4 linked regions of the Saccharomyces cerevisiae S288C genome follow. The protein of the gene in region 4 interacts with the protein of the main gene of each other region in a biochemical or structural test. Each region holds a gene or a part of one and is shown on either strand. Other genes may lie near its edges. The genes, in order: ATG17, ATG1, ATG29 and ATG13.

Region 1 (7,656 bases), on a different chromosome or scaffold from region 4:
TATCGGGTGACCTGAAAAAAATTTCAGCATATATCCTAAATGAATGTTGGGATGCCCTAGCCACTGGGCACTATAATATCACTTATGCTAAAAAGTATGGATTAGGAGCCTTGAGTGATTGCCAATTTGAATTGTTTGTTCATAATCAATTTTTGATACGTGAGATCTTTATTTTTGCTTTCCATAGACATATCGATGCAACAAGAATTTGTTGCAAAATACTATGGGGATTAGGGCTAAATTTTTGGAGGATATTTGGGTCCCTACAACCAGCAGTGAACGCATGTATCCCAGAATTATTCAGCGCATACCAAATCGGGAAGCTTCGTTTGAATGATTACGAATTGGAAAGGTTTGTTTCTTGTTTGTTTTTTATGATGCACGTTCCCGATTCTGACACCTTTTTTCCTGCTTGTATGGATTTCTTAAGAGATTTACTTGGTTTTTTGCATATTGTAAATGAAATCTACAAAATACCTAATCAAGAAGAATTTGATGATGATCGGACTGCTCGGCACATAGAGATGTTCGAGTACTTGCTAGAAGCAAACAGGCCAGAGTTGTTTCATAAAATGATATATGATTTGTTTATCCACTTTATTCAGAAAAAAGACTTTGTTCAAGCAGCTTTGAGTCTAGAACTCTTGGCAGGTACGTACGCTTGGGATTCTAATGATACTCTTGAAGCAATATCTTTCCCGCCATTGCCAGAGCAATCTTCATTTGAGAGGAAGGAATATCTTCTTAAGGAATCCGCAAGAAACTTTTCGAGAGGCCAAAAACCAGAAAAAGCTTTAGCGGTATACAAGGACTTGATAAAAGCCTACGATGAGATCAATTATGATTTAAACGGGCTGGCCTTTGTACATGACCAAATAGCAGGCATTTATACCAGATTACAGTCCATTGATAGACTGGTTCCAACGTATTTTAAAGTTTCTTTCATGGGATTTGGTTTTCCAAAATCATTAAGAAATAAATCGTTCGTCTTTGAGGGTCTCCCATTTGAACACATTACGTCTATGCATGACAGGCTTCTACGAAGCTATCATGGGTCAAATATTGTACACTCACAAGAAGAAGTGGATATGTTATTGATGAATCCTCCAATGGGAAAATACATTCATGTAGCTTCCGTCGAACCGTGCTTAAGTATATCCGATAATTACAACAGTAGTGACAAGAAAAGCTCAATTAACAACAAAGTGCGGATGTACATTGAGAATAGAGATTTGAGGACTTTCAGTAATTCTCGACGTTTGCCAGGCGCAAAAGGAGTCACTGACCTGTGGGTGGAGGAATATACGTATCATACTATGAATACTTTTCCAACACTAATGAATAGATCAGAAATTGTAAAGGTTACGAAGAGCAAACTTTCTCCACTTGAAAATGCAATTCGTTCCTTACAAGTTAAAATACAGGAGTTATATGGGCTTGAAAACATGTGCAATAAAACTCTGAAGGACCACGGTGATGTGAACGATTTATTTACCGAGCTTTCTACAAATATTACGGGAACAATATCAGCTCCAGTTAATGGAGGCATATCACAGTACAAGGCCTTTTTAGAACCCTCCACATCCAAGCAGTTCAGTACTGATGATTTAGGAAGATTGACGCTAGCTTTTGATGAGCTTGTTGCAGTATTAGGTCGCTGTCTAACGTTGCATGCAGAACTACTACCATCAAAGGATCTAAAACCATCACATGATCTTCTAGTGCGTCTTTTTGAGGAAAATTTCGCTGAGGAGATAGAAAGATATAGTCGTACTCTCAGTGAGGCCAATCGTAGCAGGAATAACATGATTACTGCTCGAATAATTTCGCACAAGAACCCCAATAAAAAGGCAAGCTTTTCTGGAAGGGATCATCACACCTCAGGGTCCAATCATAGCCAATTTGTATTAGAACATAGCGACTCATTTGGCCCAAACAGTTTACTTTTTGGAAAATATTTAACAAGAACGTTATCCCACTCGTCCACTACGAGCAGTTTGGATAAAAGTGGAATTGTTTCCGGCACTTCGAGCACCTTTTTGGCAGGGTCACAGCCAAACACCAACACAGATTCACAGCACAAGCATGATTACTCACATTCGGGATAATATGTCAGAAGTTGTTCACTATAAAATATACGCATATGTAATCATTTATTTATTCATTCATGACTTTTAGTTGAAAAGGGCACATTTTTCTTTGTCGTAAAAGTGAAGAAGACAGCGAATTTTTTCCTTTCTCCTTCAAGTATTGCTTTTTTGATAAAGTATTTTTCGAAATATTGATACAATTATTGAATCTTTGTACCGTATCCTTTTTTTCCTTTTTTCTAAGGATTCTTCACGTTGTAATTTAAAGTGTACAGGGAAGAAAAATCGTCAATTTTACCGGGCCAGATTGTCTCAGGAAGATAAGTTCCATTTTCCGCTATAAAATTCTGACGTTCTTCCTGGTCCTGAGCATCTAAATTCTGCAACTGCTTTTCACAATCTTTCAATATAGTTTTCATTCTGTTTGCCACATCCTTTCTCCTCTTTGCTTCTAGAACTAAGTTACCGTAGCTTTCTTCAAAATTATCATAAAATTCACAAAGTTCCTTAGTTGTTTGAATATCTTGTGTACAGGAATTTTTGAAGCTATCAATCAGATTGGAAATATCTTTAAAGATTAATAGATATTCCAAATTTCTATTGAAATCGTTTATTATTTCAGAAACTTCGCTGTGTAGTTCTGTCTTTTCCTTTATTTTTGCCTGCAAAAATTGACCCAAGTTAAGAATTGTTTTGTCCACGTCATCAATTACCTCATGCAGAGTTTTGAAAATGTTGTATAGTTCTTTGTCGTCGCCTTGTACCACCTTAAACAGCTCCTCACGTTCATCGTTATCAATTTTTTTATCTTGTAACAGCAATGTCTTATCAAAGTGCTGTGTCAATGAATTCATTATCTCTGCTAAATCTTTTTCAAGGTCCGTTAGTTCCCTGCTAAACTGCTCTGCAACATTTGTTTCCATCAGGTTATCTATACCAAATTTACTTTGGAATTTTTGAGTTACGTCCGTCAACTTGGTATCAATCAGTTCTTTGTTAACTTTTCTGACCATATTTTCGTATTGAAGCTTAATGTTTTCAATTTGACGCTCAATTACTGGCACTTCTTTCAGTTTGTCATTCAATAAGTTAACGTTGTCTCTCGAGATGTAATCTCCTAGTTTAGAGGGATCGGTATCATCTTTTTCTGATATGCTCAATTCATTTACTATACCATCCAACCTTTGTACTTTAGAAGTGATTTCATATTGCCAGTACTTCATCTCATCAACTAAGACCACTAAGACAGCTTGATTCCATTGTTTCTGGATTAGCTTTGTCCCAATGCCTTCCTTTAAAATAGTGTAAAGAAACTTTCCTTGCTGTCTCAAGCCAACTATTAGAAAATTGAGTTTTGAAATACTCAACTGCCAAGATGACAATTTTTTCTTAATATCTACAATCCTTAAATTAGCACTTGAACATAAAAGTTGAGCATCGGTCAGCGTTTTCCTGGCATTATTAACAAATTTTGTAACATCTGCTTCGTTCATAGGTGTTAAATACGTTGATAATATCCTCGCAGTATCGAATTTATCGTACGTTATGCGACTTTCAAATAATTATCAAGTTAGGGATATCTTGCAATTTTTAATACTGAGGCCTTAGAGCGCGCATCTAGTATTTACATTATGTCAAAACAATAACAAAAATCCAAAATTTCGAAATAGTACAACCGAGAGAGGTCGAAGAACTTAAGCCTTCAGTACGCCAAAACATGGAGGATTCGGACTCCAACACAGATAAAAAGTTCTTTTTCAAAAAAAGAAGAATCGATTCCTATAATTATAGCGATGAGGAAGATAATAATTCAAGCATGAATAGTGACATGACATACACTAATGATGCCTTGAAAACTAGTAGCGGCAATGCCCCAACGATCTCAAAATTAACGAAGACATATGGTATTGGTGCGAAGTTACTTTCGAGTATGGGATATGTTGCGGGAAAAGGCCTTGGGAAGGATGGTTCTGGTATAACTACACCAATAGAAACCCAAAGCCGACCTATGCACAATGCAGGTCTAGGAATGTTTTCAAATACCAACTCCAGTAACTATCACAGTGAAAATGAGGATTACTTGAGCTCTGAGGATGAGGTGGTTGAAGGTATAGAACAAGTCAAATTCAATAAAACCTCCACGGAGGTTTTAGGCGAAGCGTTGTTAAATGATAGTGGTGATATGACTATAGTGCGAACACTGAGAGAATTGAGGTTAGCAGGGGTACAATTACCAGAGAGTATCCTAAAAGAATTAGACCCTTTAAATGCAGTACCAAAGCCGAAAAAAGATGTTGTTGTGGAGATATTGCAAGAGCTGCTGGGTATTGAAAAAAGTTTGGAAGCTATTCGTCAGCGCACCTCTCCGTTAGAAGTGCAAGTCAAAGAATATTATGGACAAGAGAGGCTTCTTTCTGAATTGGAGGTTACTTTGAGGGACGAAAGCAAGCATGTTTCCCTGTATGATAAGATTGGTGCTATTTTAAAATTGTCCGACGACGAGCTCATAGATAGGCTAACGTCCTGCTTATTGAGAAAAGAATTACTAATAGAATTTGATTTGGATCATTTAGAAAAGCCAAACGATATACTTGATGAGTTAACGCAAATTATAGAACTACTCGCATATAGAATGGATACAACTTCGAAATTTTTGAACAGGACACAAACAACAATCTTTAAAGTTATATATCCCAAACTCAAAAAATTTTGGGAAGGGTTTGATATGACTAAATCAAAAATCGACAGCGCTATCACCCTATTACTGGATTTCCAACAAGTGCTAAGTTTTATCGGGTGTAAAGAGCATATCATGGAGGAATTCGTCTATCCAAAGCTATTACAGGAATTAGATAATTGGGAACTTCACGATGAAGTAGACCATGTTTCGCCAAGAATATGGGTCTTGGATTTTATGGTTTTAATTGACGATAAGATCAAAGACACAATTGTGGACAAGATTGAAGCAAAATTTTTTGCTTATTGTAAAAATTGGTACCATAGGGAATCATTTTGTATCACTAATTCTGATATTATATTTATCAAAGAACTTATCTGCGAACGAAGATATTACAAAATTTTATGTAAAGAGTTTCTTCCTAAATTCCTGGACGAGCTGTGGGAAAGACATAATGACCCCATCTACGAGTTAGAGGATTGGAAGGAAAAACAGGAATGGAAAGAAAAAGATTCTGGATTTTTCTATTTTATGAAAAAACTGAGAAGTTATACCCATTATTTTCATCCAAAACAGTATGAATTGATGATGCGGGGAACCTTTAATAATATAAACAAAATACTCTATCAATGGCATCTTTATAGTACAGTGGAAGACTTACACAAGTCAAAGTGGTGGCTTAATTGGCTGATGAATACGGTATTTGAGCACTCTTTACCAACAGAAATAGAACTATCGGAGATCAGAAAAAGCTATAATATATTCGCTATGTCTCATAGGTACCACCTTGATAAATCTACATTAGATGAAGATTTCGATTTGAGACAGGGTTTACGAAACTTAATGGAAACACAAGTGATCGACGATATTAGTCAAAGCGAACAAGAACCTACCTATACTGTACAAAATATTCCGCTTGGAAAAGTTAGCAGCTCTTTCAAGGATGTGGTAGAAGACTACTGCCTGGAAAAAGGGTACTTGATCAGCAAAATACCAAATAGGTACACTCAACTGCCATATGGAAGAGACCAAGATTGTATAGTTCCTTTATTTGAGATCCGAAACGGGAAGAAAAAAATGGAAGTTGCTTTGAAACATGATATTCTTTGGGTGGAGGATTCCAGTGGGACCTTTAAGCCAATTTATTTATGGGCCCTTGACCTCTAGAAAGTACCTATAAAAGAGGTGAGATAGGCACGATTTATATATTATTGTCGAAAAACAAAATTGATTAGATTACTAAATAAATAATAATTGCATTACCATTTTTAGACAATGGATTAATTTAAAGTGGAGTCTATTAATTCCCCTTATTTGATAGTTGTTGGTATTTTGCCCTTGAAATGTTTCCAAAATTTATTGTTTAAACTTTTATACTTCGCTAGACTCTCGTAGTTAGACTGTTAAGAGTTGTGGCAGAAGGAAACGAGTTTCGGATGGGATCAAAGGACCTTTTTTATATCAAGATCAAATGGAGCTGTTATTTTCCAAGAAAGACAGAAGAAAGCCCGAATGTGGCTAAGTAGTGAGCCTAATCAAGTAGTCAGCTTCACTTGATATTAGTTTATACGATTACTATTTTAATGGAGTTTTTAGCTCACTAAATAATTTAATGCAAAAAAAATAAACGACCCCAGTGAGGGTTGAACTCACGATCTTGCGATTAACAGTCGCACGCCTTAACCAACTTGGCCATGGAGTCTTTTATTTCCGATATCTGCTGAGTTAAAAATTATATAATATTATTGATAGCTTCTATCATTGACCTTCAATTACTTATGTTGGAATATCAAAAATGTGAGATTTTTTTTTTCAAATAGTTTTGAAGAATCAGCGAATAATTTGATACTTTTTGGGATTCTTGTTAGTAACGGCTATTGTTGGAGTTAAACTTCTTTAAATTTGTAGAGTATGTGGATTTTGATGTAATTGTTGGGATTCCATTGTGATTAAGGCTATAATATTAGGTATGTAGATATACTAGAAGTTCTCCTCGAGGATTTAGGAATCCATAAAAGGGAATCTGCAATTCTACACAATTCTATAAATATTATTATCATCATTTTATATGTTAATATTCATTGATCCTATTACATTATCAATCCTTGCGTTTCAGCTTCCACTAATTTAGATGACTATTTCTCATCATTTGCGTCATCTTCTAACACCGTATATGATAATATACTAGTAACGTAAATACTAGTTAGTAGATGATAGTTGATTTTTATTCCAACATACCACCCATAATGTAATAGATCTAATGAATCCATTTGTTAGTTAATAGTTTAAATGTTTTTATCGGAAGAGGTTTTGTCATCACATCAGCAATGTTCTTCTTGGTCTCGATGTAGTATACGTATAAATTATTACCTGATACTTCATCTCTAAGTCTCATTGCCTTTGTGCCAAAAAATCTGTTTCTAAATTTCTCTTCATTTATTTCTAGTTCATCCTGGTCTATATAATGACCTGGTTGACCTGGAGCTCTAAGTTTCTTTCCTTTTGGGTTCAAAGGTACGTTTAGTTTGGGTAATTTTTCTGTCAAGGATTTTTCCATACCTAATTTCATGTACTTGCTTCTTTGATATTTGATCTCTAATCCAAGTATGTCGTACTGAATTTCGTTATCACCTTCACCCAGATTTATTATCTTTGTATCGTATTGTTTCTTGAGTGTTGTTATGATTTTCTTATTTGCATTTAAGTCTTTGCTGAATAATATCATATCATCAACGAATAAGCAAATTGTTACTTGACTATTCTTAAATACGCATGACCATCCGCGAACTTCTTGCATGTCGCAACAATTTATTAAATATGATTTAATGGTTTCATACCAGTTTGCACCACTTTGTTTCAAACCATAGAGTGATTTTCTCAAACGTAGTA
Region 2 (9,252 bases), on a different chromosome or scaffold from region 4:
TGCACTTGAGGCTTTAACTACTATGGCTTAAGAAGGGTAGCTACTTTATTTTTGTGCTTTTAAGAAATGTAATCATTAATTAAGTAATTAGGAGGTCAAGACGAAAACCATAAATAGATTGTGTAGAAGGGGCCGTACATTTTGTTTCTTATGCAATGTGGTAGTTTCGTTTACCGCCCTCGCCGGTCCATCACAGCATTTTGGAGTTCCTTTCTAAGGTCCATCGGAGCACCTTTATTTTTTTTGCGCTTCGGATAAATTGCATTTGGTTGATAACTTCCATCTCCACCCGTCCCCTCGCACCGGACCTTTTAAAGATCCCTTTGTATATAATAAACCAACGGGTCCTATAAAGACTACCGCTGATATCTTCGGTTTGCACAACGTCCTTCAGCAAGCAAAATATGGCTGTTTTTATTCTCTGTATGTCCTCATTGATGAGGACTCGCAACAATCTTGGCTATTTTTTTCGTTGAGCATACCCGGTCCCTGAATCTTTTGTGCGGGTATTATACGAAGAGCGGGTGTGCCTTACTTATCCGCGCGGTATATAAAGCCATACATTGTTAGGACAGGTGTCCCCAATAAGAAACACTACTTGTAAGTGGTATATAATGCTCGAGCCTCTAGTGACTCGTACTCTACGCCTTGAAATTGCTGCGCACATATTCTGCATATAAAAAGGAAGCTTTGAAGAATATGGTACTACTTAAAGAACCTGTTCAGCCGCTGCCTCGATCATCTCTGTTATATAATAATGCGAGCAATAGTAGTAGTCGTATAAAAGAGACAAGAAAAGTCAAACTATTATATAATCCCTTAACTAAGAGACAAATCCTTAACAACTTTGAAATTTTAGCCACTTTGGGTAATGGACAGTACGGCAAAGTGAAATTAGCAAGAGATCTCGGGACAGGTGCGTTGGTTGCAATAAAAATTCTTAATAGATTCGAAAAAAGAAGCGGGTATTCTCTTCAATTGAAAGTAGAAAATCCAAGGGTTAATCAAGAAATTGAAGTAATGAAAAGATGTCATCATGAAAACGTTGTGGAATTGTATGAAATTTTGAATGACCCTGAGAGCACAAAGGTTTATCTTGTATTAGAATATTGCTCAAGGGGACCCGTTAAATGGTGTCCAGAAAACAAAATGGAGATAAAAGCAGTGGGACCATCAATACTCACTTTCCAACAGTCGAGGAAGGTAGTGTTGGATGTAGTATCGGGTCTGGAGTATTTACATTCCCAAGGGATAACGCATCGAGATATCAAACCATCGAACCTGTTAATTTCATCAAACGGAACGGTGAAAATATCCGATTTTGGCGTTGCTATGTCAACTGCCACCGGAAGTACTAATATACAATCATCGCATGAACAACTTTTAAAATCTAGAGCCTTAGGGACCCCTGCTTTTTTTGCACCTGAGCTTTGCTCCACTGAAAAAGAGTATTCCTGCTCATCTGCCATCGATATCTGGTCATTGGGGGTCACTATATACTGCTTGTTGTTTGGAAAGTTGCCTTTCAACGCCAATTCAGGATTAGAACTTTTCGACAGTATTATCAATAAACCCTTAGAATTTCCATCTTATGAGGAAATGTTGAATGGTGCCACTTCGGGAATCACAATGGAAGAATACACTGATGCCAAAGATTTATTGAAGAAGCTGTTACAAAAAGATCCTGACAAACGGATAAAACTAGCAGACATCAAGGTACATCCGTTTATGTGCCATTATGGTAAAAGCGATGCAGCATCCGTATTGACCAATTTGGAGACGTTTCATGAGTTGAAAGTTTCACCGCCCTCTTCATGCAAAAGGGTAGAATTGGTCAGCCTACCAGTGAATTCATCATTCGCCTCTTTAGATAGCGTTTATATGGAAAATTTTGACCACAATAACCTTAGGACTGGTGCTGACAGAAATTCAACATATTCTCCATCAATATACGACGCAAATACCTTATCACCCTCAGCATATCACAACATCGGTTCTAGAGAGTCATCCTATTCGTCCTTTTCCTCTTTCACATCATCCACCGCTTTTGCATCTCAGATCAGTATTCAGGATGCCCCAGCAATCGGTGATCAACAATGCTTGATAGGTGAGAGTGGAAGTTCATTAAGAGTGAATTCTTGTGAGTTTCCACAATATACAACTATGTCTCCTGTAGGAGAATATCCCTTTGAGAGTACGGAAGCAAGTTTGAGCTCTACTCTTACGCCTGTCGGTAATGTACCTCAACGTATAAAAGCCCACCTGGTAGAAGGGAAATCTAACAGCAAGGATGACCTTAGAATAGAAGCAGACGCATCACTTGTATTTGAGGCTAGCGACGCCCAGCGCACGAGAAGAAGAATGTCTCTTTATAAGCTTTAGCATGATATATGTAAATTATTTTAATAGATGTAATATATGATTAGAAACTTGATAGAAGGATCTAAGTTAATTGTCATGTCGGATCCTAATACCAATTCTTTTAATATTGTGTTTGTTTTTGAACGTTTATTATGACTTGTAAAATACTGTTTGTAACAACAAATTATAAAATGAATTTTAATGAACTCAACAAGTAAAAATAATAAAGATATTAATGACTTGTTAAAGCCTCCTCAATCAAATCATACATACATACATTTATATATATATATAGAACAAAAGGTTAAAGAATCAAATTTTGAAGAAATAAAAATTAGATTAAAAGGATATGTATAGCCAAAGGCAAGTACTAAACGCAACAAAAAAAAACTTAAAAAGAAAAAAACACACCGAAACCGAAGGAATTCAATAATTTCCTTAATTAACATTTAAACATCAAAATAAAACCCATCCAGGTATAAAAGAGCTGGATTTCAAGAAAAAAATCACGTAGAAATAAAAACAAAACAAAACACAAAGGGAAAATAAAATTTGAATACTTTAATGACGAACTCGTAAAGCATTTCGAGAGTAGCATAACATAATCATGAAGATACTTGAAAATATAGCAGGTCATTTGTACTTAATAAGAAAACCATATTATGCATCACTTAATTTTGGTGGTTCATCTTCTGCCTCAATATTTTCAACCTGTTTGCAATACTATCAATATACTTTCTTATGATTATTCTGTCATTTTCATCCAACACACTATGATACTTCTCTTTATCTTCAACGTCGTTACTTTTTAGATGTATGTTAGTTTTAAAAGGGTAGTCACCATAGGCATTCGTAAAATCATCATCGTCCAGAGAAGTTTCTAACATCCAAAGTGAAGTTGCATAAGCTAATTCACAGTTGTACAAATTTTCTCCTTTTAATTCCATATGTGCGGCCATCTTAGATATTTCTAATGCACGATCATATAATAGCTTTTCTAAATATACTGGCTCTTCCGAACTACCTTTTTCTTCCAAAGTTTGATTTTCAGCTACCTCAGAAGCATGCTTGAATCTCAAGTCGTTAATTTTTAATCTCAGGAAATCAGCTTTTTCTAAACATTCATTAAATTTTTCCCTTAGCCACTGTACCAACACGTTAACTCTTAGAGAACATGATTTTTCTTGAGATTCATACCACCAGTTGGACGTTACCTGCATAGATTTTGATAAAATGGATAATGCCTTCATATATAAGACAATGGCCTCATTACATAGAAGGATCATTTCCGAACGTGGTAGTTTATTGAAAGTTGCACTCAACTGAGATGTGGCAGATAAAGTTCTACCCTTTCCAAAAGTTTTCGTGGATAAGCAATCTTCCTTGTACTTTTTCAACGTTTCATCCTCTTCTTCTGCATCGTCTGAGTCTTGTTCTTCTGCAATAGCATTACTATCCATACTGCGCCTGTTCTCAAAGTTAGCCATGCCTTTTAATGTTGTTGATAATGGAACAATTTGAGAAAATTTCACTTCTGCATAAGAGTAAACAACAAATGCCTTTGCGGCCAGAGATTCCAAAATACTAACGATATTAGTATTATCTAATTTCAGTGTCTCTGGATGCTGTAGGTGATCTATTCTTAATATTATATTCTCAGTAAGTTCATGAAAAAGTTGGGAATTCAACAAAGTTTGACTGTACGGTGGGGAAGATGTGATTTGTTGCTGTTGCTGCTGTTGATTTGCACCACCAAACAATCTCGTTGATGCAATACCGAGGGCTCTTGATAATGCATTAGATGGATTCAGCGAGGATATAGACAAGCGTCTATCCACCAAAGATGGTCGCCTAGACCCATCACTACCTCCACTGGAAGATGATGTGGCCCTCAGTAACCTCGGATTTTCTCCTTGATTTTGAAAATACTGTTGATTGTTTGGAGAGAATTGCTCATTCAATAAGACGTTCTGATTTTGAGTTGAAGTTGGGTGCTTAATAGGATTTGGATTGAATCCTGCTTGAGCAACCTCGTCTGCCAATGAATTAACTTCAACCGATTTCTTCTCTACCACCACATATTCTCTTTCAAAGCTTCTATCTGAAACTAGGCTATTATGGTATTTATTATTTGAAGCCTTTTTATCTACGGCTTGTGTATGGTCTGTTTTAACGGCTGGGGCAGTTAATATATTGCTGTTCTTGAGGGCATCACTGAGCTCCGCGGGATTATCTGCCATTGATTGATGACCTGCAAGATTACTGTTCGGACTCTTTGGCTGTTTAGATAAATACTCAGAAACGAACATATTACTTTCTACAATACCTTTTGATTTGGATTCTAACTCAGGTAAATCATCTTCCAATTCATAAGAAGACAAGTCTTCGTTGACTACCTTGTTAGCAAAAAACTCCTCAAATCCTATTCTTTGGGCTGGATCAAATGTCAATAAACTACATATCAACTCTTTTAACTCTGGTTCAATATTGCAATATGAAGGAAACGTTATGACATCGTTTGCTCTTTTAATTTTCTTGAATAACTCCAAATGATTGGAAGCTCTAAACGGTGGGGTGCCACAGCACATTTCGAATACCACTGTACCGACAGACCACAGATCTGCTTTAGCGTTATATTTTTGATAATTCAAAATTTCTGGTGCCATATATAATGGTGAGCCACAAAGAGTTTCTGCTAATGACGTGTTTGGCAAAAATCTTGCAAACCCGAAATCTGCTATCTTTAAAATGGGTAAGTTGTAGATCCCAACAAATCCAAGTTCATGGAAGCTTTTTGAATCATGATATCCAATTAGGGGTGTAGATAATAGTAAGTTTTGAGGCTTGATGTCTCTATGAACCAAGTTTTTAGACCTCAAAAATTTCAAAGCGGACGCTAACTGCTGTAAATAACTCAAGACAAACGCTCTATGCAGGCCGTTATGGTTCTCACTCGGTGGAGGGTATTTTTCAAATACGGTCCTTAGTAGAGGATGATTCTCCATCAATTCTTTACGCCTTTTCAACAGAAATGTTAGGTCCCCAAGAGCACAGTACTCCATGATCAAATAAAAATCTGTTGATGTTCGTTCACAGTCAATAAGTCCGACGATATGAGGATGCTTGATTTTCTTCAAGATAGCGATTTCTATTTCCAAATTCTCTAGTAATTTCTTATTTTTTAATTTCGCCCTTGATACTTCCTTTATGGCTACATGCTGAGATTTGTCGGATGTCAGATGCCCTCTATATACAGTGGCAAACGAACCCTTTCCGATTTCTTTCTCAGCGGTGTAATTTCCTGCACTTGCCATTAGATTATGGTTCACAGAGGTTGTGTGATCTTTATTTTTAATGTCTCCCATTTTCTTAATTTCTCGTCTGGTGTTGTAAAAGAGATTTGAAAATATGGGGTAGCTTCAAATTCGTTTTGTGGAGATATCAATGATTATTCTCCTATCTCCTTTGCCTTATGTTTTTATTATATTATATGTTATTTTATTATGGGTACTATTACTACGATTGTATTATATCTTTTTATCTTCTATAGTACTGTTCTCTGTTTCCCCAGAAACTAAAAAGGGTAAAAGATGGCCTTGGTACTTAACTTAAAGGTGATGAAATGTGGCGTTCTAGAATTAACCTCGGCCTAAAAAATAAAAAGCTAAAAAAAAATAGTACGATCAGGAAGATATTAATAATATAAGCTCCTTTATGAGATGCTCGATTCCTTTTGTTGCCAACTAAATGACGCTTAGAATTCCATCGATTCCACGATCGATATAGTTACAAATCACAAACTGATGCTGATGGGGGAAATGGTTTAAGAAATCAGAGCCGAGCGGTTAAAAAGAAAAACAGATGCTTGAATACGAATGATATGCTTGCTTCTTTAACGGTATGGCTTTCCAGTAATAGTTACTCCGATAAGATTCATTACAGATACACGAAACGAACAAGGAAAAGATGATTAACGGGAAAAAAAGAGAGTTCCTTATCTCATTGATTTTAACTAGTGGGTTTTCCTTACATTACCGCCCAATCCCTTTTTTTTTTCTCGCTCTCACCGGCGGAGCGCGAGCGGAAAACGCCACCCAGGTGACTTTTGCGCTAAGTGTGGATCAAATACAGTGGTATTAGTCATTGATGTGCAGCGTAAAACGTCCGGAGCAGCTGTGTAATGCGGCTGTGTAGGGTGAATACAATAGAGAATATGACTAATTCTGGTATATAGTCGTTGTTTACAGATATCTTTCGTTACTTAGTGTCATTTAATTACTTAGTGTCACTCTATATGATATGTAATGCGGAGCAGCGGCAATGTATCTTATTTTTATTGTGTGTAGAAATAACCTTGTGGCAGGTTTCCTCCTTGCGACATTTGCTGAAAAGATAATGGCGCCTGTTGCTGTTGCTGCATCTGAAGCTGTTGCATCTGGATCTGCTGTGCTTGAGCCTGAGCCTGGGCCTGAGCCTGAGCCTGAGCCTGAACTTGAGCCTGTGCCTGTGCCTGTGCCTGAGCCTGAGCCTGTGCGACAGCAAGCTGTTGCTGTTGCTGTTGCTGCTGTTGCATAGCCATGGCGTATTGCTGCTGATCTACATATATCATTCCGGTAGCAGGATCGTAATACTGTTGAAGGGTACCATCGAAAACTGCTGGCTTTGCTTGTACAAAAGATGCTGAATTTGAAGTAAAATCTGGCGTGATTACATTTGTACCATCAAAAATAGCTGGCTGTGGGCCACTTGTTGTCGCACGTCTCCTGGGCAGGGGCGGAGTTGATGTTGTCGCTGCTGCCGATACACTATTTCTTGAACTTGAACTTTTTTCTAGATAATCGATTGCTCTATTGATATTTCCGTGAGCGGACGATAATGCATCTAAATTTTTGTTTGTATCACCGAAACCCATGTCCTTGAGTTCTGCCAGTTGCCTAGAATATCTGCTTCCACTGCTTTGGAATGAGTCCCTGGAACCGCCGTAGTCAGACCTATTATGGCCCCCTTTATAGAAAGAATGAGATCTGCTCCTGCTCCTACTTCTATTTCTTTCATCAAACCTGTCCGATTCCCCATCAAAATCATCCATTCTGGATCCAAAGTCTTCAGGCTTTATTTCATCATACCTGAATTTACCCAAAATATACTTGTCTCTAATGTAATGCTCCACGATGGCTTTGTCATCATCTCCATCAAAAGGAAAAGGGACATTTTTAGGATTCCAGAACCGAGCATTCCCCTTATTGCCTCCAAGACTCACTAATTCATCGATATCCTCTCTTGTCCATCTATCCATTGATAGTGATTTAACGTTAGAAAAGGCATCGTCGTCTCTGCTACCGAAAACTTTTCTATGAACAGAGGCACACCTACCACAAAGGAAAACCCCCAAATTAACTGAGCACCAAGTTGGGTAGAAATTACCACATTCACCGCATTTATTGGCATTCTCGGACGAATTAATCAACTCCTTTAATTCTCTGTCAACATGTTTTAAGCTATGGGAAGAACTCCTAAACCTCATTTTTGACTAAGTATAAATAAACTATAATCTGTGATTGACAGAACGCTGCCTCCATCTATATTAATGATTGATCAAGAGAAAATGTTCTTCTTCCACCCTTTTGTGAAGCATTTAGAGATCAACACTAACTTTCTTCAACTTACAATAATTTCCGGGTGCCCCCATTTATCGATTACCCGGATCCGCTTTGCATCATAGTGTGTCGTTGTCGAAACAAAAGCGCCGTATTATTTGGTCAACGTTTAATAAAGTAAAAGCAGCATTTGAGATGCTCTATACAACCTTCTTAATTGCAACCGACATAAAGGTATGTTTTTCTCTTCTTATTATGACAAGGGAAACTTGAAGAAGAATTCGTGTCTTGCCATAATTTCAGCATCATCGTCTCAACCTAAGCCTCTTCTCACGAAGGCACGCTCAAATATCTTTCTGGCTCTAAAAATCTTGAATAACGAACCGAATTTACCATCTTTCCTGCTTTTTTATGCGTCGAAAAAAAGTAAAATAACCGCCCAGATCACGAAATTGCATATAAAAGGCGATCTCCCGTCCCACCGTTATTCTTTGCGATATAGACTAAACGGCGGAAACTTTATGTGTAGTATCATAAACATTCAACAATGGTATGTCTAATAAAACCATCATGGTACACAGGACTGAACACTAACTTATAGACGGGTGCGTGCTACCCTCTTCTTATTATTAGGGGCCAAAGAGACAGACAGTATCACTCCAAGAGAAAAAGAACCGGATTCTGAACTTTTTTCAAGAGACGTACACATTCTACAACATCAAGGAATTAGAGAAAAGCATACCTAAAAAATGCGGAATCTCACCCATGATCGTTAAAGATTTAGTGCAACAAATGATTGATGAAGACGGCGTCATTTCGGTGGAAAAATGTGGTAATATTAACATCTACTGGTGCTTTAAAAATCAGACACTGCAAAAATTGTATGATTCAAGCGAGTTGATAAAAAAAAAGATACAGGAAGTAAAGTGTGATATTGCCACTTATAAACAAGAACTAGACAAAACGCTAGCAACTGGAAGGCGTAAAAAATTTACGGTAGGCCAAAAATCATACAATAGGGAGGCTCTACTGGAAAAGAGAAAAAAAATTCAGGATGAAATTAAGAAAAAGAGTAATAGTCTCCAAAAAATAGAAAGCATTAGATGGGATGCAGCAAAAATACAAGAGAATAAACAACAGATCCGCCTAAAAAAAGTGCATCTGGAGAAAACTACTGATAACATTGAGATTCTCATTGATTATTTATACAAGAAATTCTTTTTGAAGCCAGAACAGATAAGAAAAGAATTTGGAATTCCAGAAGAGTTCAAGGAATTTACGGAGGTTTAACCTT
Region 3 (7,272 bases), 670 kb from region 4:
TAATACCACCGGATATGCTTAAGAAAGTTTCCTTGAAGTTTAATGAATATCAGATTGAAGGGATCATATCGAAGATGCCCGTTGGATTGAAGGATCTTCAATTTATATATATCAATGGCAGACGTTATGCGGACAGCGCCTTTCAAGGATACGTCGATTCTTTATTCCAAGCACAAGATTTCGGGGAGAAAGGCATGAGTTTACTCAAAACTAAAAGCGTGGGAAAACCGTATCGATCACATCCCGTCTTCATCCTTGATGTTCGGTGCCCCCAAACTATCGATGACCTGTTACAAGATCCAGCAAAGAAAATTGTTAAGCCTTCCCATATACGTACCATTGAACCATTGATCGTTAAGACCATTCGCTCCTTTCTGACATTTCAAGGATACTTAACGCCTGATAAATCAGATTCATCTTTCGAAATAGTCAATTGTTCACAGAAGACGGCAACATTGCCTGATAGTCGAATCCAAATCAGTAAACGTAATCAAGTATTAAATTCAAAAATGAAGATTGCACGCATTAATTCATACATAGGAAAACCCGCTGTCAATGGATGTAGAATAAACAATAGTACAATAAACTACGAAAAAATCAAGAATATAAGAATCGACGGTCAGAAATCAAGGTTACGGAATAAACTCTCTTCCAGGCCCTACGATAGTGGTTTTACAGAAGATTATGACAGTATAGGAAAAACCATAACAGATTTTTCAATATCAAGATCTGTCCTGGCAAAATATGAAGTGATTAATCAAGTAGATAAAAAATTTATTCTCATACGTTGTTTAGACCAATCTATTCATAATTGCCCACTATTAGTTCTAGTTGATCAACATGCTTGCGATGAGAGGATAAGACTAGAAGAGCTATTTTATAGCCTGTTGACAGAAGTTGTAACCGGAACTTTTGTTGCACGAGACCTCAAGGATTGTTGCATTGAAGTTGATCGTACTGAGGCTGACTTATTTAAGCATTATCAAAGTGAATTTAAAAAGTGGGGAATTGGCTATGAAACAATTGAGGGAACAATGGAAACCTCACTTTTGGAAATTAAAACACTGCCTGAGATGTTAACTTCCAAATATAACGGGGATAAAGACTACTTAAAAATGGTCTTGCTGCAACATGCTCATGACCTGAAGGATTTCAAAAAACTTCCAATGGATTTATCCCATTTCGAAAACTACACTTCGGTTGATAAATTATATTGGTGGAAGTACTCAAGCTGCGTTCCAACGGTCTTTCATGAAATTCTTAACAGCAAGGCATGCAGATCTGCTGTTATGTTTGGAGATGAATTAACCCGGCAAGAGTGCATAATTTTAATTAGCAAGCTCTCGCGATGCCATAACCCATTCGAATGCGCCCACGGGAGACCTTCTATGGTACCCATTGCAGAATTGAAGTAAAGAGAACCTTAATCCTGGAACAAGGTTTGTCGCCTGCATTTTAAATTGCGCGGATATGCAAAACAGAAGATTACCTCATCACGTTGTCAAAACCTGGAAAAATTTAAAAAACAAAAACAAAAAAGAAACGTGCGATACAATACTGCTCCACTGTTGCATTACCGTTTTATGTATCTCTGATATTATAAATGTAGCCCTAGATTTATATGAATATATATATATATATATATACCATTTATATATGCAAACACAAAATAACCTAAAATTTAAAAATGACTATTGATGGAGACGTACATGAAATTTCCCCATTTTTCCAGGTTAGGCAAACTAAATGGGGCGGTAGGGCTTGTTTCAGTAATGGTAATATTCCTAAAGGGACAACAGTCTTGCAAGTCAGTAATTTTACAGGAACATCTATTTCCTATGAGTTCAGGAAGGAAGTTTGTCACAATTGTTTCGCATACGCTAATGCGAAAACTATGAAGTACAAACTAAACTACGATTACCTGAGAGATTTGGTTTGTAATGCACACTACCAAATTAACCCTAAGAAGTTTCTGGGCGCTGGACTGTGGTTCTGTTCAGAACATTGCAGAACTTCTTATCTTCAAATACCAAATATCATTGAATTAATTGAATGTTATGAGATATTACTGCATCATTTTCCAAGCATGCTGAAAAGATATAATTATACCTCTGAACAGGAGGAAAAATTAAACTCTATCTTAATTTCGGAAAATGTCATACAGTCTTCATGGGATGAGATTGAAAGTAAATGGATACCGCGCATCAACAACATGAAATCTGCGAAGAGAATAAATCAATTACCACCCACTTGCGAAGATGAATATTGCTGCATTAGGTTTGTGTGCGAGAGTTTGTTTAATCTTAAATATATGGATCCTCAGTGCATAACATACCGAGCTTTCAATATGTTACAATCGAATGAGCTTAGCAAAATATCTAAATTTCCTGTCTTACTGCACTTTCAAAAATTAGTATTTCAAACACTCTATATTCTATTACCTTCACATTTGCATAGAATGCTCTCCATACCGCTATTGAGACATATATTAGGTACTGAATATGGGAATGCTTTTGGTTTATGGCAAGAGGGCGAAGCCTCAGACAGCAGAGAATATTTTGGATACTGGGTATTTCCAGAAGCCTCCTATTTCAACCACTCTTGTAACCCCAATATAACGAAATATCGTAAAGGTAATTCAATGCTATTCACTATGAATAGAGATATAAAAAAGGATGAGCAGATCTGTATCGATTATTCCGGGGTACTGGACTTACCAACAGTAAAACGCCGGGCCTTTTTGGCCGACAGTTGGTTTTTTGATTGTGCTTGTGAAAGATGTAAATCAGAATTGCAATCTGTCCATTAGCGCTTCTTCCAACGCAGATTTACTAACACTTAAGCTCGAAGATAAATCGTCATCTGAACTACCGCACTCCATTTCTTTATTAATACCATCCTTATCCAATTTGTCATTAGGCTTATTCTCACTATCCGATGTTTTCTTGTGAATGTTCAAAATTTTGGAAGTTTGCAAATGTTGTAACGCCTCATTTGTTACTTCTGTCTCAACTTCTTCAGAATCCTGTCTTTCCGTGGTCAGTGGGCTTGCGGATACATTTAATAGATTATCATTTTGTAAAGTAGGGGTATATTTATGTATTAAATCAGACATCCCTTCATTCACTTGATCATTTGAATACTTCTCAAGATCTCTTTTTTTCTCCAATTGTAGTTGTAAAAGCTCTAAGTGTTCAGCAAATAATTTATATGTTCTCTTTTTAAGAAAAAATTCAGGCGTTTCAAATATTTTTGATAAATTCTGCCAATCTATTTGATCTTGTGAATAATTCAAATTTGATACCATTGTCCAAAGCTGTCGCTCCTTTGTTCCATTCCACTCAAATTTGGGAGGATCCAAGAATCCCTGTGGTCTCCTACCCTTAACTTTGATATATACAACTGTGTTTGTACTATTCATAATCATGAAAGTCAAGTAGGAAAATGCACAGCAGTACAATTATGTATGTCTCTTCTTGATAAGTATTCACTAACACCCCTTTATTTTCACCTTGAATCATTTTTTTGACGAGTGCAGTGCGTCTAGAAATAGTGTACTTGAAGAAAAAAGCCATCTCTGTAATAGAAGCACAAAACAAGAGAAAGTATTTGAGTCAATACAAAACTACAAGTTGTGGCGAAATAAAATGTTTGGAAATGTCGAGGGAGTCGAACGACACAATACAGAGCGATACGGTTAGATCATCCTCTAAATCAGACTATTTTAGAATCCAGCTAAATAATCAAGACTACTATATGTCAAAACCCACCTTTTTGGACCCATCGCACGGTGAAAGCCTGCCCTTAAACCAGTTTTCACAGGTCCCAAACATCAGGGTGTTTGGTGCTTTACCCACAGGGCATCAAGTATTGTGCCACGTCCATGGCATTCTACCTTACATGTTCATCAAGTATGATGGACAAATAACTGACACGAGTACATTGAGACACCAAAGATGTGCCCAAGTTCATAAAACGCTGGAAGTAAAAATTAGGGCATCCTTTAAAAGGAAAAAAGATGATAAACACGATTTAGCCGGCGACAAACTTGGAAATCTCAATTTTGTCGCTGATGTCTCTGTTGTAAAGGGTATACCATTTTATGGTTACCACGTTGGCTGGAATCTGTTTTACAAAATTTCTTTGCTTAATCCTTCTTGTCTAAGTAGGATTTCGGAATTGATTAGAGATGGCAAGATTTTCGGAAAGAAATTCGAAATTTATGAATCACATATTCCTTACTTGCTACAATGGACCGCAGATTTTAACTTATTTGGATGTTCATGGATAAACGTGGATAGGTGTTATTTTCGCTCTCCTGTTTTAAATAGTATACTGGACATAGATAAGCTGACAATTAATGATGATCTTCAGTTGTTACTAGATCGATTTTGTGACTTCAAGTGTAACGTACTCAGTAGAAGGGATTTTCCACGGGTTGGAAATGGATTGATTGAGATAGATATACTACCGCAATTCATCAAAAATAGAGAAAAGTTACAGCATAGAGATATACATCACGACTTTTTGGAAAAACTGGGAGATATTTCTGACATACCTGTCAAACCATATGTATCCTCTGCTAGGGACATGATAAATGAACTTACCATGCAACGAGAGGAGTTGTCCTTGAAGGAATATAAAGAACCACCAGAAACAAAGCGCCATGTGAGTGGTCATCAATGGCAATCTTCTGGAGAGTTCGAAGCGTTTTATAAGAAAGCACAACATAAAACAAGTACTTTTGATGGTCAAATACCAAATTTTGAGAACTTTATAGATAAGAATCAAAAATTCTCAGCCATAAATACGCCCTATGAAGCATTACCGCAATTGTGGCCAAGGCTTCCACAGATTGAAATAAACAATAATAGTATGCAAGATAAAAAGAACGACGACCAAGTTAATGCATCGTTCACCGAATACGAGATATGTGGTGTTGATAATGAGAACGAAGGTGTAAAAGGAAGCAATATAAAGTCTCGGTCTTATTCATGGTTACCGGAAAGCATTGCGTCTCCGAAAGATTCTACTATACTATTAGATCATCAAACAAAATATCACAATACGATAAATTTTTCAATGGATTGTGCTATGACGCAAAATATGGCAAGTAAACGAAAACTTAGATCATCTGTTTCTGCTAATAAAACATCGTTGCTGTCTCGGAAAAGAAAGAAGGTTATGGCTGCGGGATTACGCTATGGAAAAAGAGCCTTTGTTTATGGTGAGCCTCCTTTCGGTTATCAAGATATTCTGAATAAATTGGAAGACGAGGGATTCCCAAAAATAGACTATAAGGACCCTTTCTTTTCGAATCCAGTTGATCTAGAAAATAAACCTTACGCGTACGCAGGTAAGAGGTTTGAAATAAGCTCGACACATGTATCAACGAGAATACCCGTCCAATTTGGGGGAGAGACCGTATCAGTTTATAACAAGCCAACTTTCGACATGTTTTCCTCCTGGAAATATGCGTTAAAACCACCTACGTATGATGCTGTTCAAAAATGGTACAATAAAGTACCCTCGATGGGAAACAAAAAAACTGAGTCTCAGATAAGCATGCACACCCCTCATAGTAAGTTTTTATACAAATTTGCTAGTGACGTTTCTGGAAAACAAAAAAGAAAAAAAAGTAGCGTTCACGATTCTCTTACTCATCTGACACTTGAGATTCATGCAAACACGAGAAGTGATAAAATTCCAGACCCTGCAATAGATGAAGTTTCCATGATTATATGGTGTCTTGAAGAAGAAACTTTCCCTTTAGATTTGGATATCGCTTACGAAGGGATTATGATAGTCCACAAAGCTTCTGAGGATAGTACATTTCCTACTAAAATTCAACATTGTATTAACGAAATTCCCGTGATGTTCTATGAAAGTGAATTTGAAATGTTTGAGGCTCTAACTGATTTGGTATTACTTCTTGATCCTGATATTCTTTCCGGTTTCGAAATACATAATTTTTCGTGGGGTTATATAATTGAAAGGTGTCAAAAAATACATCAATTTGACATTGTCAGGGAACTTGCCAGAGTCAAATGCCAAATTAAGACGAAGTTGTCAGATACTTGGGGATATGCCCATTCCTCAGGAATTATGATTACCGGAAGACATATGATTAATATATGGAGAGCGTTGAGGTCCGACGTAAATTTAACGCAATATACTATTGAAAGTGCTGCGTTCAATATCCTCCATAAACGATTACCTCACTTTTCATTTGAGTCATTAACTAATATGTGGAACGCTAAAAAGAGCACAACCGAATTAAAGACTGTGTTAAATTATTGGTTATCAAGAGCTCAGATAAATATACAACTATTAAGAAAGCAGGATTACATTGCTCGAAATATCGAACAGGCAAGATTGATAGGAATAGATTTCCATTCTGTATATTACAGAGGATCACAATTTAAAGTTGAGTCTTTTTTAATCCGAATATGCAAGTCCGAAAGTTTTATCCTTCTTTCTCCAGGCAAAAAGGATGTTCGTAAGCAAAAAGCACTTGAATGTGTGCCTTTGGTTATGGAGCCAGAATCTGCTTTCTACAAAAGTCCTTTAATTGTGCTGGATTTCCAATCATTGTATCCATCCATTATGATTGGATACAACTATTGCTATTCGACTATGATAGGAAGAGTGCGAGAAATAAACTTAACGGAAAATAACCTTGGAGTATCTAAGTTTTCATTACCAAGAAACATTTTAGCTTTATTAAAAAATGATGTAACTATCGCTCCAAATGGTGTTGTTTATGCCAAGACCTCTGTTAGAAAATCAACGTTATCCAAAATGTTAACAGATATCCTTGATGTCAGAGTGATGATAAAGAAAACAATGAACGAAATAGGTGATGACAACACTACCCTAAAAAGGCTTTTGAATAACAAACAGTTAGCACTAAAATTATTGGCGAATGTCACCTACGGTTATACATCAGCTTCATTTTCTGGACGAATGCCATGCTCTGATTTAGCTGATAGCATTGTACAAACAGGCAGAGAAACATTGGAGAAAGCAATAGATATTATTGAGAAAGATGAAACTTGGAACGCCAAAGTTGTCTATGGAGACACAGATAGTTTATTTGTATATCTACCTGGAAAAACTGCTATTGAGGCTTTTTCTATAGGACATGCTATGGCAGAAAGAGTTACTCAAAACAATCCAAAACCAATCTTTTTGAAGTTTGAAAAAGTATACCATCCCTCCATATTAATTAGCAAAAAAAGGTACGTAGGATTTTCCTATGAAAGTCCTTCG
Region 4 (8,758 bases):
TTGATTCTTTAAAGGAAGCCGGTTTTGAAAATCCTGAGGAAGAATTTGCTAAACTTTTCAAATTGTTTACTACAAATCAGCAAGCGACCGAAGAGAGAACTTTCAGAGGTAAGCTTTTCTTAGATTCAATCACCGATTAAATATTCTATATACACATATCAAAGAAAGCAGTCAGCAGCTTTTTTATTCATACAAACATTTTTATTACCAAATAGGTTATAGCGTGGTTCTCTCGTCCAGTTATTTGCATTACAAAATAAATCGTTCTTTATAGTTATAATAATATACAAACAAAGCAAATACACATAAAGGAAAATGCAGGTGTAATCACAAATCCACAATGAGTTCCTCCACACTCCAGTCCTCAAAGGAACCATCTGGTAAATATCTTCTAATAACCAAAGGAATTTTCTTTTCAGCCAACTCCTTCATGGCAATACGCAATGGATCAGTTTCACCTTCTAAATCTACAAAAACTGGCGCATTCATGGAAATTTGTAGGGCTCTTGTACCTAAAATTCTTGCCCTTTCATATTTGGTCATGTATGGAGTAGTTGCTCTTTGGTCTTTTGGGATGGCCTTTTCCTTAAGTGTCTTTCTTCTTATTTGCTCATGCTGTTGAAAATCTTCTGGGCCATTACCACCAGTAACGATGGTCTTACCGTTGGCATCGGTTGTTTCACCATCCTTGAATTGAGGTTTTTCCTCATAAGTCTCCTCATCAGAAAAATGCTCTACATCAAAATCTTCGAAGTTCTCATTACCGTCGTTAAACCTGTATCACAATGATAGAAGTTAGTAAATATAATTAAAACTAAAGCACGCAATTTCTCCAATATGAATGCACATACGCCTCCTCGTAGTCTGACATGATCACTTGTAGCCTTAATCTTTACACTGTTACCTGCAAAATGTGTCTTTTTAGCCTTTCTTCAAGGTTGTGATTGATGCCTTTGAATGATATTCTTAAAAAAAAAAAAATTTTTTTTTCAATTAAATATCATACTATACGAATAATCAATATACAATGATTATTTATTATAAGAAGAACTAACTATCAAATAAGGGCATTAAGCACAGTAGTAACTGTTGAAATCGCTGTCAAATGGGAGGAGAGGTTCTAAATAATGAAGGAATGCCACTGGCCGAACTTAAACAGGAGACCATTCCCATATCACGATCAGAGAGTTCAGAATCATTGAACAGTTTAACATCAACTAGAAGCTCATCGAGCAATAGGCCAAAGACATATTTCTGTGACTATGATGGCTGTGATAAGGCATTTACAAGACCTTCAATTTTGACTGAACACCAATTAAGCGTACATCAGGGTTTAAGAGCATTTCAGTGTGATAAGTGTGCAAAATCCTTCGTTAAAAAGAGTCACTTAGAGAGACACTTGTATACGCATTCTGATACGAAACCATTCCAATGTTCTTATTGTGGAAAAGGAGTGACGACTCGCCAGCAACTGAAGCGACACGAAGTAACGCATACCAAATCTTTCATTTGTCCAGAGGAAGGATGCAACCTCCGATTCTACAAGCATCCACAATTAAGGGCACATATTTTATCTGTTCATTTACATAAACTAACCTGTCCACACTGCAATAAAAGCTTTCAGAGGCCATATAGGCTAAGAAATCACATTTCTAAACATCACGATCCTGAGGTAGAAAATCCTTACCAATGTACTTTTGCTGGTTGTTGCAAAGAGTTTCGGATATGGTCACAATTGCAATCGCATATAAAAAATGATCATCCTAAATTAAAATGTCCTATTTGTAGCAAACCATGTGTGGGGGAAAATGGTTTACAAATGCACATGATTATTCATGACGACTCACTAGTAACCAAAAATTGGAAGTGTCATATATGTCCTGATATGTCTTTTTCTAGAAAACATGATCTTCTCACGCATTATGGGTCTATTCATACGGAAGAAGATATCCCACTGGAACTAAAATATAAAATTTCTGATATTCAACAACTTGTCCAAGACCACGGAGTTCAACTGGGGAATAGCAAACACTCGAATGAGCAGGATGAAGAGAAGATTTCCAATAGGTTGAGGAAAAGGAGAAAACTTACCGAAAACAATAATGTAGAGTTTTTACAGAATGAAGTGGATTTAGAAAAGCGACTTGAGTCTGGTGAAAATGGGCTAAACCTTTTATTGAATACCGTTGGAAGAAAATACAGATGCTTTTACAATAATTGTTCTAGGACTTTCAAGACAAAGGAAAAATACGAGAAACATATAGACAAGCACAAAGTACATGAGCTAAAGTTAAAAATATTACAGGAAAAGGAAGAAAATAAAACGCTAGTGGACCAGAACCATAAGGAACCTTTTATAATTCAAAAGGAAACGCAGTCAGCGGGTGACAAATAAGCATTTTTTTTTTTTATTTTATATGCTAATTATATTACTGATATACATATTTGCCATTTTGTTACTGCAATTGGTATATCTCACTGTATATAATTATATATTCAATTCAAATGATAGACACATGGATCTTCAAGAGGTAAGAATATCGATAACAAAGAGAAACAAATCCATTATGGCTAATCTTTTTTATTTCAGTTTACTAGTATTGTATTTTTTTTTCTTTTCTTGCATATCTATTTCACCTTTTTTTTGATTATTTTTCTTTAGTTGTGCCCTTTAAAATAAAACTTTACCATTTTTAACCTTCTTTAGAAAGGTTCATATCACTCATGAAAAATACTAGATCATCATCTTGATCATCCTCGTCATTATGCATCACACCAACTGCATCATTCCCATTATGATTGTTATTGTTACTATTACTCCTATTACCATTATCGATTAACTTATTTGCAGGTTTATGAAATTTCGCCTGAGCTTGAAAGGGCGCAGTAGTTGGTTGAGAGTAATGGTATGGTTGTCTGATAGGTATCCTACTTTTTATGAAAGAACTTGAAATGCTATCAATTGATCTTGGAGATATTGAACTTTTGAATTTTGTAGCACTGTTTCCCATTTGGTTGAGCAAACGGTCATTCTCGTCATCATCATCTTCTTCTACTCCTAATTGGTTGTACTTTTGTATTTTGTTGTCGTGGTGATATGAAGTACTCTCTCCACCAAAAATAGGAGGTAAGCCTGACATACCCTGCTTGTTTGAGCTCTTATCTAAAGAATTCCTTCTACTATTCAAGGCACTAGTAGATGAATTCCCACCGCCTCTTGCAATCAAATGGCTTGCATTGGCGCCTTGAGACATTCTCGAGTTCAACGATCCATAATGCATCGAAGGGGATATTGAAGGCAATGGTGAGTGGGAATCTGATCTGCCTCTGTGATATGTATGATTTGGATCCATGGATAAACTTACGGATAAATCTTCACTTAATAAGTCATTACTTGGCTTCAAATTCTGATATCTGATTAGAGAATCAGAAATATTGATATTGGGTGGATTATTTCCACTTGTCTTCTTTATAGTTAGATCGGGTTTTTCTTCGAGTAATTTAACAAAATCCATTAAATCTTCTTGTGATTCTTGAGGTTGTAGTGGGCTCTTTACAGCTTTTGATACTTTTTCAGCATTCTCTGTCGTCTTTACACTTGAGTGACGACGAATGTTCCCAAAGGAGGAGGAATACTTTGAGGTGCTTCCAACACTGGTACCTTCAATATTCATTTGTGGCCCGTAGTTGGAGCTCATACTTGGCCTATGAACAGGTGGTTGGTTGAAAAACGATGAATTAGAGGGATTTCTGCTCGCACTTTGACTTCCAATTGAACCAACTTTAAATGGTTGAACAGGTCTCGATATTGGATAGACTTTCTTCTGCCAAGATTGTGGTTCAAAAGAATTGGCTCTTGTACAAGGAGAAAGTGAAAGAGATCTCCTATCAGGTATCTGTCTTTGTTGTTGTGTCTGGACCTGGTGTTGTCTCTGTTGCTGTTGCTGCTGCTGCTGCTGCTGTTGGGGCTGCTGCTGCTGTTGAAATTGTGGTTGGCGTTTCCCTATGTCTTGATCACTTTGTCCTTCTTGTTCTGGCTGATTCTGGGGTCCTTGTGAGTTATGTGAGACAGATGCATGTCGAGCTGAAAATAATTCGTCGTTTGTATTGTTAATTTCAAACTTCCAATCACGTCTGTATGATACCGAGACTCTTAAGAGTCCAAACTTTGTCCATACAGGTGTGATCTTCTTTTGATCTAAATGGGCTGGCAGGTTTGATTCGTTAAGCGCATTGGAATATGTATTAATAATCGGTTTGCTCAACCCTATTCTCCCCTTCGATAAAATTGGTTTAGATCCGTCAAGGACACACGTCCGGATACTTACTAGTGGGCCCGTGGAAGTTATTGGATTGGAACTTCCTTCATTTTGCGGGCCGTTATAAGACTTTATTAATAATTGGTATAATTCTGTTGTGGGTAGTAACTGTATTAAAGTCAACAAATAACGGAAGAGAAGGACTAGCTGTTTAGAAAGTTCATTAACATCAGTCTCATCTTCACTGTATGATTTGAAAGTTGGGGATGAATTATCTAATTCGATAAGCCAACGTTCCATCACGATTTCCTGCTTCTTAGTTCCTTTGCAAACGTTCCACAAATGGCCTTCGTGGTCCTTTAATCTAACTAAATGAGACGAGTTTAACTGTCTTAAATCCAAATATGTCTCTACCACTAAGGGTGGCAACTCTTTTCGACCATCGTAGTGAGACCATTTTGATATTATCTCGGGTAGCTCACTCACTAATTCTGAGTGATCTTCAAACCATGTGTCGTCAAATAGGAATATATTTTCTGTAGAAGACTGGTATCGACTTGATTCGGTGGAGCATATTAGTAGTGTAGTCTTCAGAAAAAAGCTGTCTATCAATTGAAGGACTTGCTTCTCGATGTCCTCTTCGGCAACCATGACTCATGCTATTCAACCGGGCTGTATGTTCTGCTTTCTTTTCAAGACTTGAGCCTGGAAGGTGTAAGTGGAATGTATTTGGTACCTATGAATTCGTTCTATATCTATGTGAGGTAACGAAAATCTATACACCCTTGTTTCTACTTCTCGCCTCTTTCTGTAACTGCCGCTGCTCACTTAGTTAAAAACTTAGATCTTAGCGAATTAAACAAAACAACAAAGATATCGAATTGATTGTAACACGCAAACGGCTCACTCCGGTTCAAATACGTACGTGGCAACCCTTTCACCTCTTGCTCTGACGCGTTTTGTCCCCCTTGGTTGGTGCTGTCCTTCACTTTCACGTGTGTTCCCTTTATTTCTTTTATTTTCGTTTTCGCTCTCGCTCCTCAAAACGATAATACATATACAAAAATATACGATTTTTATTTGTTTTATTATCAATAGAGATAGGGAGGTAAAAATATGTAAATATATATATATGTATATATAGTTGAACAGAAATAAAAGTATTAGCGGGTGGCAAAAAGGGACCGTTCAATTAATTTATGCTTTAGCTATTTTCAGGAATCATCTTCGTAGGCATCCCATAAATCATAAAATAGATCTAACAAACAAGCAGAACTCCAGGCTTGCGTGGGGCTTGAGTCATTGCATACTTCACCATCTTTATTGGTTAGCTCTGTCAATCCTGCCCACACACTTTCAAAAATCCATTTTCTATGGCCTTTTAATCTGTAGTATAATTGTTGATACAAATAAGAGGATGGTTTCTCTTTGGCAGCATTCTGACAACGTGGACTGGTTTTAAAGTGGAAATGATGGAACGCTCTTAAAAAGTAGCCGTAAAGCCAGACCCACTCAGGGCCTTGGTGATAGTTTCTACCCTTTGAGGTGGCAAAATCATCCGAATCTTCTCCGTTGTTGTAGTACGGACGGTAATTGTAATCGCTTGGGTCTAAAGTACGCATACCTACTGGACCTCTTAAGACTTCATCTGCAATGGTGATTGCTTTTATGGCATGCTCAGGCACAAATAACTCTGGTGCCACAGTCATGGCAATAGCAAAATTTGGTCTTAACTGATAATCTTCATAAGGCTTTCCTGATTTGTACAAATCTCTGTATATCCCCCGTCTATTAACACCCAATTTAGCGCTCACGTCATAATCTGCATCCTGTGATGGATCCTCCGGAACATAATATCTTTTTTCGAAATTGTCTTGAAGTAATTGATTCCATTCAGTGAAATCGATCCTCCCGCCGTCCTGCGTCTCCACATCGGAAAACTTAAACAATCCCTTGTTTTTTAGTTCAATAACAAACCTTAAAGCACTTTTTAAAAGCCCATTGATTTCTATTGCGGCTCCATCTCTGGGTGTTCCAGGAATACCAACAGACCCTGCTTTTTCACTTTCACCCATCTTATCCATCCAAGTACCACAGTTATACTGAGATCCACCATGAATTAAGCCAGTCGACCAATCGACATGAATTTCAACATTAAACCCTTTATCAGTCATAACACGATCTAAATTTGGACCTGCATTAGCCTCTCTGAATTTAATTCCCTTGGCATGCCTACTCAAAATTTCATAAATGATCTCCTCCAAGGTACTAGAGTAACTAAATGCCCTTGGATCATCTACAGGAATGTAAGTATCATCCAGTGGGAATCTCCTTGTTACTTGCTCTTGTAATATTTTTTCGCCATCAGGAACAATATAAACATAATCCTGTACAGCTTGCAAGAAGAACCAGGCAGCATCACGAGCATTATATCTCGGGTTTCTACCGGCATCCAGCAAGTTTGGAATTAAACCATGCTTCAAAGTCTTTGCAAAGGCTAGTATATGAGCTTTAGCTTCATCAAATCTACCTGTTGTTAATAGCATACCTCTTAGCGATATGAATACATCTCTCCCCCAACATCTCATGTAGTTTACGCTAAAGTGTGGCAACCCTGCAGCCATAGATGGAACATTTTCGCCTGGTAAAATAGAGGTTGACTTCATTCTGGAAACCATCTGGATTGATGTCATAGATAAGCTTTGTACAAACAATGTAGATTTACCAATATTACGGGACATTAGCTGTATTGCTTTTAAGCGACAACAACCATAGAGGATGCCGATAATTAAGGCGAAATAACTGGGCACTAAGTAGCTCGGTAACTTTTTCACTCTATCAAACCTTGAACGCAGCCAGTTCTGCACTTCATTGATTCCTGCTTCATCGCTATAGTAATTAAGTCTACTGATAGTGTAGTCTAAAGCCCAATGTCCATTTCTTAAATTTGCACTGAGGGGATGTGCTAAATCATTGTAAAACACAATTTTTCTTAATACGGAAACCCAACCTTGCAGACCACAATACACAGGCTTTCCAAAATTAGGAATAATATAAGCACCACCTTCGCCGGCGCTAACATCGTATTCTTCCGGCTCACTACGATACAAGACGGAATTTATTGACTCTAGAGTCAAACTTGAAGTGGCCTTTAAAGCACCTGACCTTATAAAATGATCTAAGGATTCGTCCACACCATTCTGTTGGGTCTCAAAAATGGCAATAGATCCTTGAGGGAATTCATTGGGCAGTTTTATCGTTGAAATCTTCTTAGAATCATCATAAGAAATGTCAAACCCTTCAAGCTCCTTTAATTTCGTGGGAATACCTTTAATGAATTTATCGTCGTTGGGAATTTCATCGCCAACTCTTTCCAAAGCATACGAAAACCTGAGAGAACAGGTGGATTGGTTTAACACCACTGGTGGTAAAGTCTCGTTAGGGTCATCATTGTCAGAAAATTTCATCCTTGCTATCAAGTACCAACCTTTTCCGGATTTAACATCCATACGATGAAAAGTAATGTACTGGCCCTGGTGATGCACATGCATTTCTGAGTCTTCAATGTCATACGCCTTTTCTCCTATACTCGTTCTAATCGAATTCAAAGTGGCCTTGACTTTGGTTATTCCTATCGAGGGGCTACCAGTAGGCGTAGAAATGTCATAATGTCTTTTTTCAGTGACCAAATTCAGTAAATGTGGAAAAATTTCGTCGTAGCCATAAACAGATCCAATGGCGGACGAGCAAAGAGCCACCAATGCAGCATTGGGCAAAGTATCCTCCACTGTTCTTTTTTCAAAGGGAGTTTCATTATCATGGGTACAGTCCATGAATAAAGCGTGTGGCGGAGTGGCGGTTAAAATCTTTGGAATCATGATCTCTGATACACATCTTATGGAGTTATCGTTGGAGTCGTTGAAACAATGCTCCTCGTTTAAATTAATATCCGCAGGATATGAGAAGTCATCCATAGGAACAAACTTATAGGAGCCAATGGGCCTCCCGCCATGCTTATGGACTAATCTAGACAACTCTTCTTCGGACCAGGCTTGCATTGCCTCTCTGATTAAAGAGGAGATACCCAACCGTTCAACAAACAGACAATCTAGTGTTTCGGAACCAGAAAACAGCTCTGCAACGACATATAGGTTCGGGTTGTATTTTCTTGCCAAATCTAGGAAATATTCGCCAACATGTATTGGAGTAGAATGGCAGTTGTCAATTCTGAACCCGTCAAATATCTTGGCGTTCATTTCTATATACTTGGACATTCTTTCCCACAGATACGGAGAGTCTTCAGGGCTTTTACCGTATCTTAACTTGACACAGTCCCCCCACACGATAACTTCTCTACGTAAATAAGCTCTTGAATTCTGCGATGCAAAATCCACTAGTGGGTTACCATTCCATATCCAGCCATTGTTGGCGAGGGCATAATCAGTACCATCTTTTCCTTTGAACCTCGTAAAATAAGGCTCTGTTAAGGGCACGTCAAC

Evidence for each region.
Region 1: the proteins of ATG13 (region 4) and ATG17 form a complex in vitro, tested with the Saccharomyces cerevisiae proteins (5 studies listed by BioGRID, with this or other methods).
Region 2: the proteins of ATG13 (region 4) and ATG1 form a complex in vitro, tested with the Saccharomyces cerevisiae proteins (6 studies listed by BioGRID, with this or other methods).
Region 3: the proteins of ATG13 (region 4) and ATG29 form a complex in vitro, tested with the Saccharomyces cerevisiae proteins (2 studies listed by BioGRID).

What each region holds. Positions count from the first base shown.
Region 1 is NC_001144.5:969,588-977,243, forward strand, and holds ATG17 (protein kinase regulatory subunit ATG17), read right to left. Parts: upstream 3,584-7,656; coding exon 2,330-3,583; downstream 1-2,329. Other genes in the region: guanine nucleotide exchange factor DCK1, read left to right, coding at 1-2,108; mRNA splicing protein SPP382, read left to right, coding at 3,808-5,934. UniProt on the Saccharomyces cerevisiae protein: Autophagy-specific protein that functions with ATG13, ATG29, and CIS1/ATG31 in response to autophagy-inducing signals as a scaffold to recruit other ATG proteins to organize pre-autophagosomal structure (PAS) formation.
Region 2 is NC_001139.9:156,539-165,790, reverse strand, and holds ATG1 (serine/threonine protein kinase ATG1), read right to left. Parts: upstream 5,727-9,252; coding exon 3,033-5,726; downstream 1-3,032. Other genes in the region: serine/threonine protein kinase TOS3, read left to right, coding at 700-2,382; GTS1 (Gts1p), read right to left, coding at 6,695-7,885; MND1 (Mnd1p), read left to right, coding at 8,506-8,508, 8,592-9,248. UniProt on the Saccharomyces cerevisiae protein: Serine/threonine protein kinase involved in the cytoplasm to vacuole transport (Cvt) and found to be essential in autophagy, where it is required for the formation of autophagosomes.
Region 3 is NC_001148.4:233,493-240,764, reverse strand, and holds ATG29 (Atg29p), read right to left. Parts: upstream 3,428-7,272; coding exon 2,786-3,427; downstream 1-2,785. Other genes in the region: mismatch repair protein MLH3, read left to right, coding at 1-1,415; SET6 (Set6p), read left to right, coding at 1,688-2,809; REV3 (DNA-directed DNA polymerase), read left to right, coding at 3,658-7,272. UniProt on the Saccharomyces cerevisiae protein: Plays a role in autophagy. Functions at the preautophagosomal structure (PAS) in order to form normal autophagosomes under starvation conditions. Also plays a role in mitophagy and regulation of filamentous growth.
Region 4 is NC_001148.4:903,370-912,127, reverse strand, and holds ATG13 (serine/threonine protein kinase regulatory subunit ATG13), read right to left. Parts: upstream 4,911-8,758; coding exon 2,694-4,910; downstream 1-2,693. Other genes in the region: MLC2 (Mlc2p), read left to right, coding at 1-140; DNA-directed RNA polymerase core subunit RPO26, read right to left, coding at 328-775, 852-871; PZF1 (Pzf1p), read left to right, coding at 1,106-2,395; GDB1 (bifunctional 4-alpha-glucanotransferase/amylo-alpha-1,6-glucosidase), read right to left, coding at 5,474-8,758. UniProt on the Saccharomyces cerevisiae protein: Activates the ATG1 kinase in a nutritional condition dependent manner through the TOR pathway, leading to autophagy. Required for autophosphorylation of ATG1 at 'Thr-226' and its dimerization. May also be involved in the regulation of autophagy through SNF1.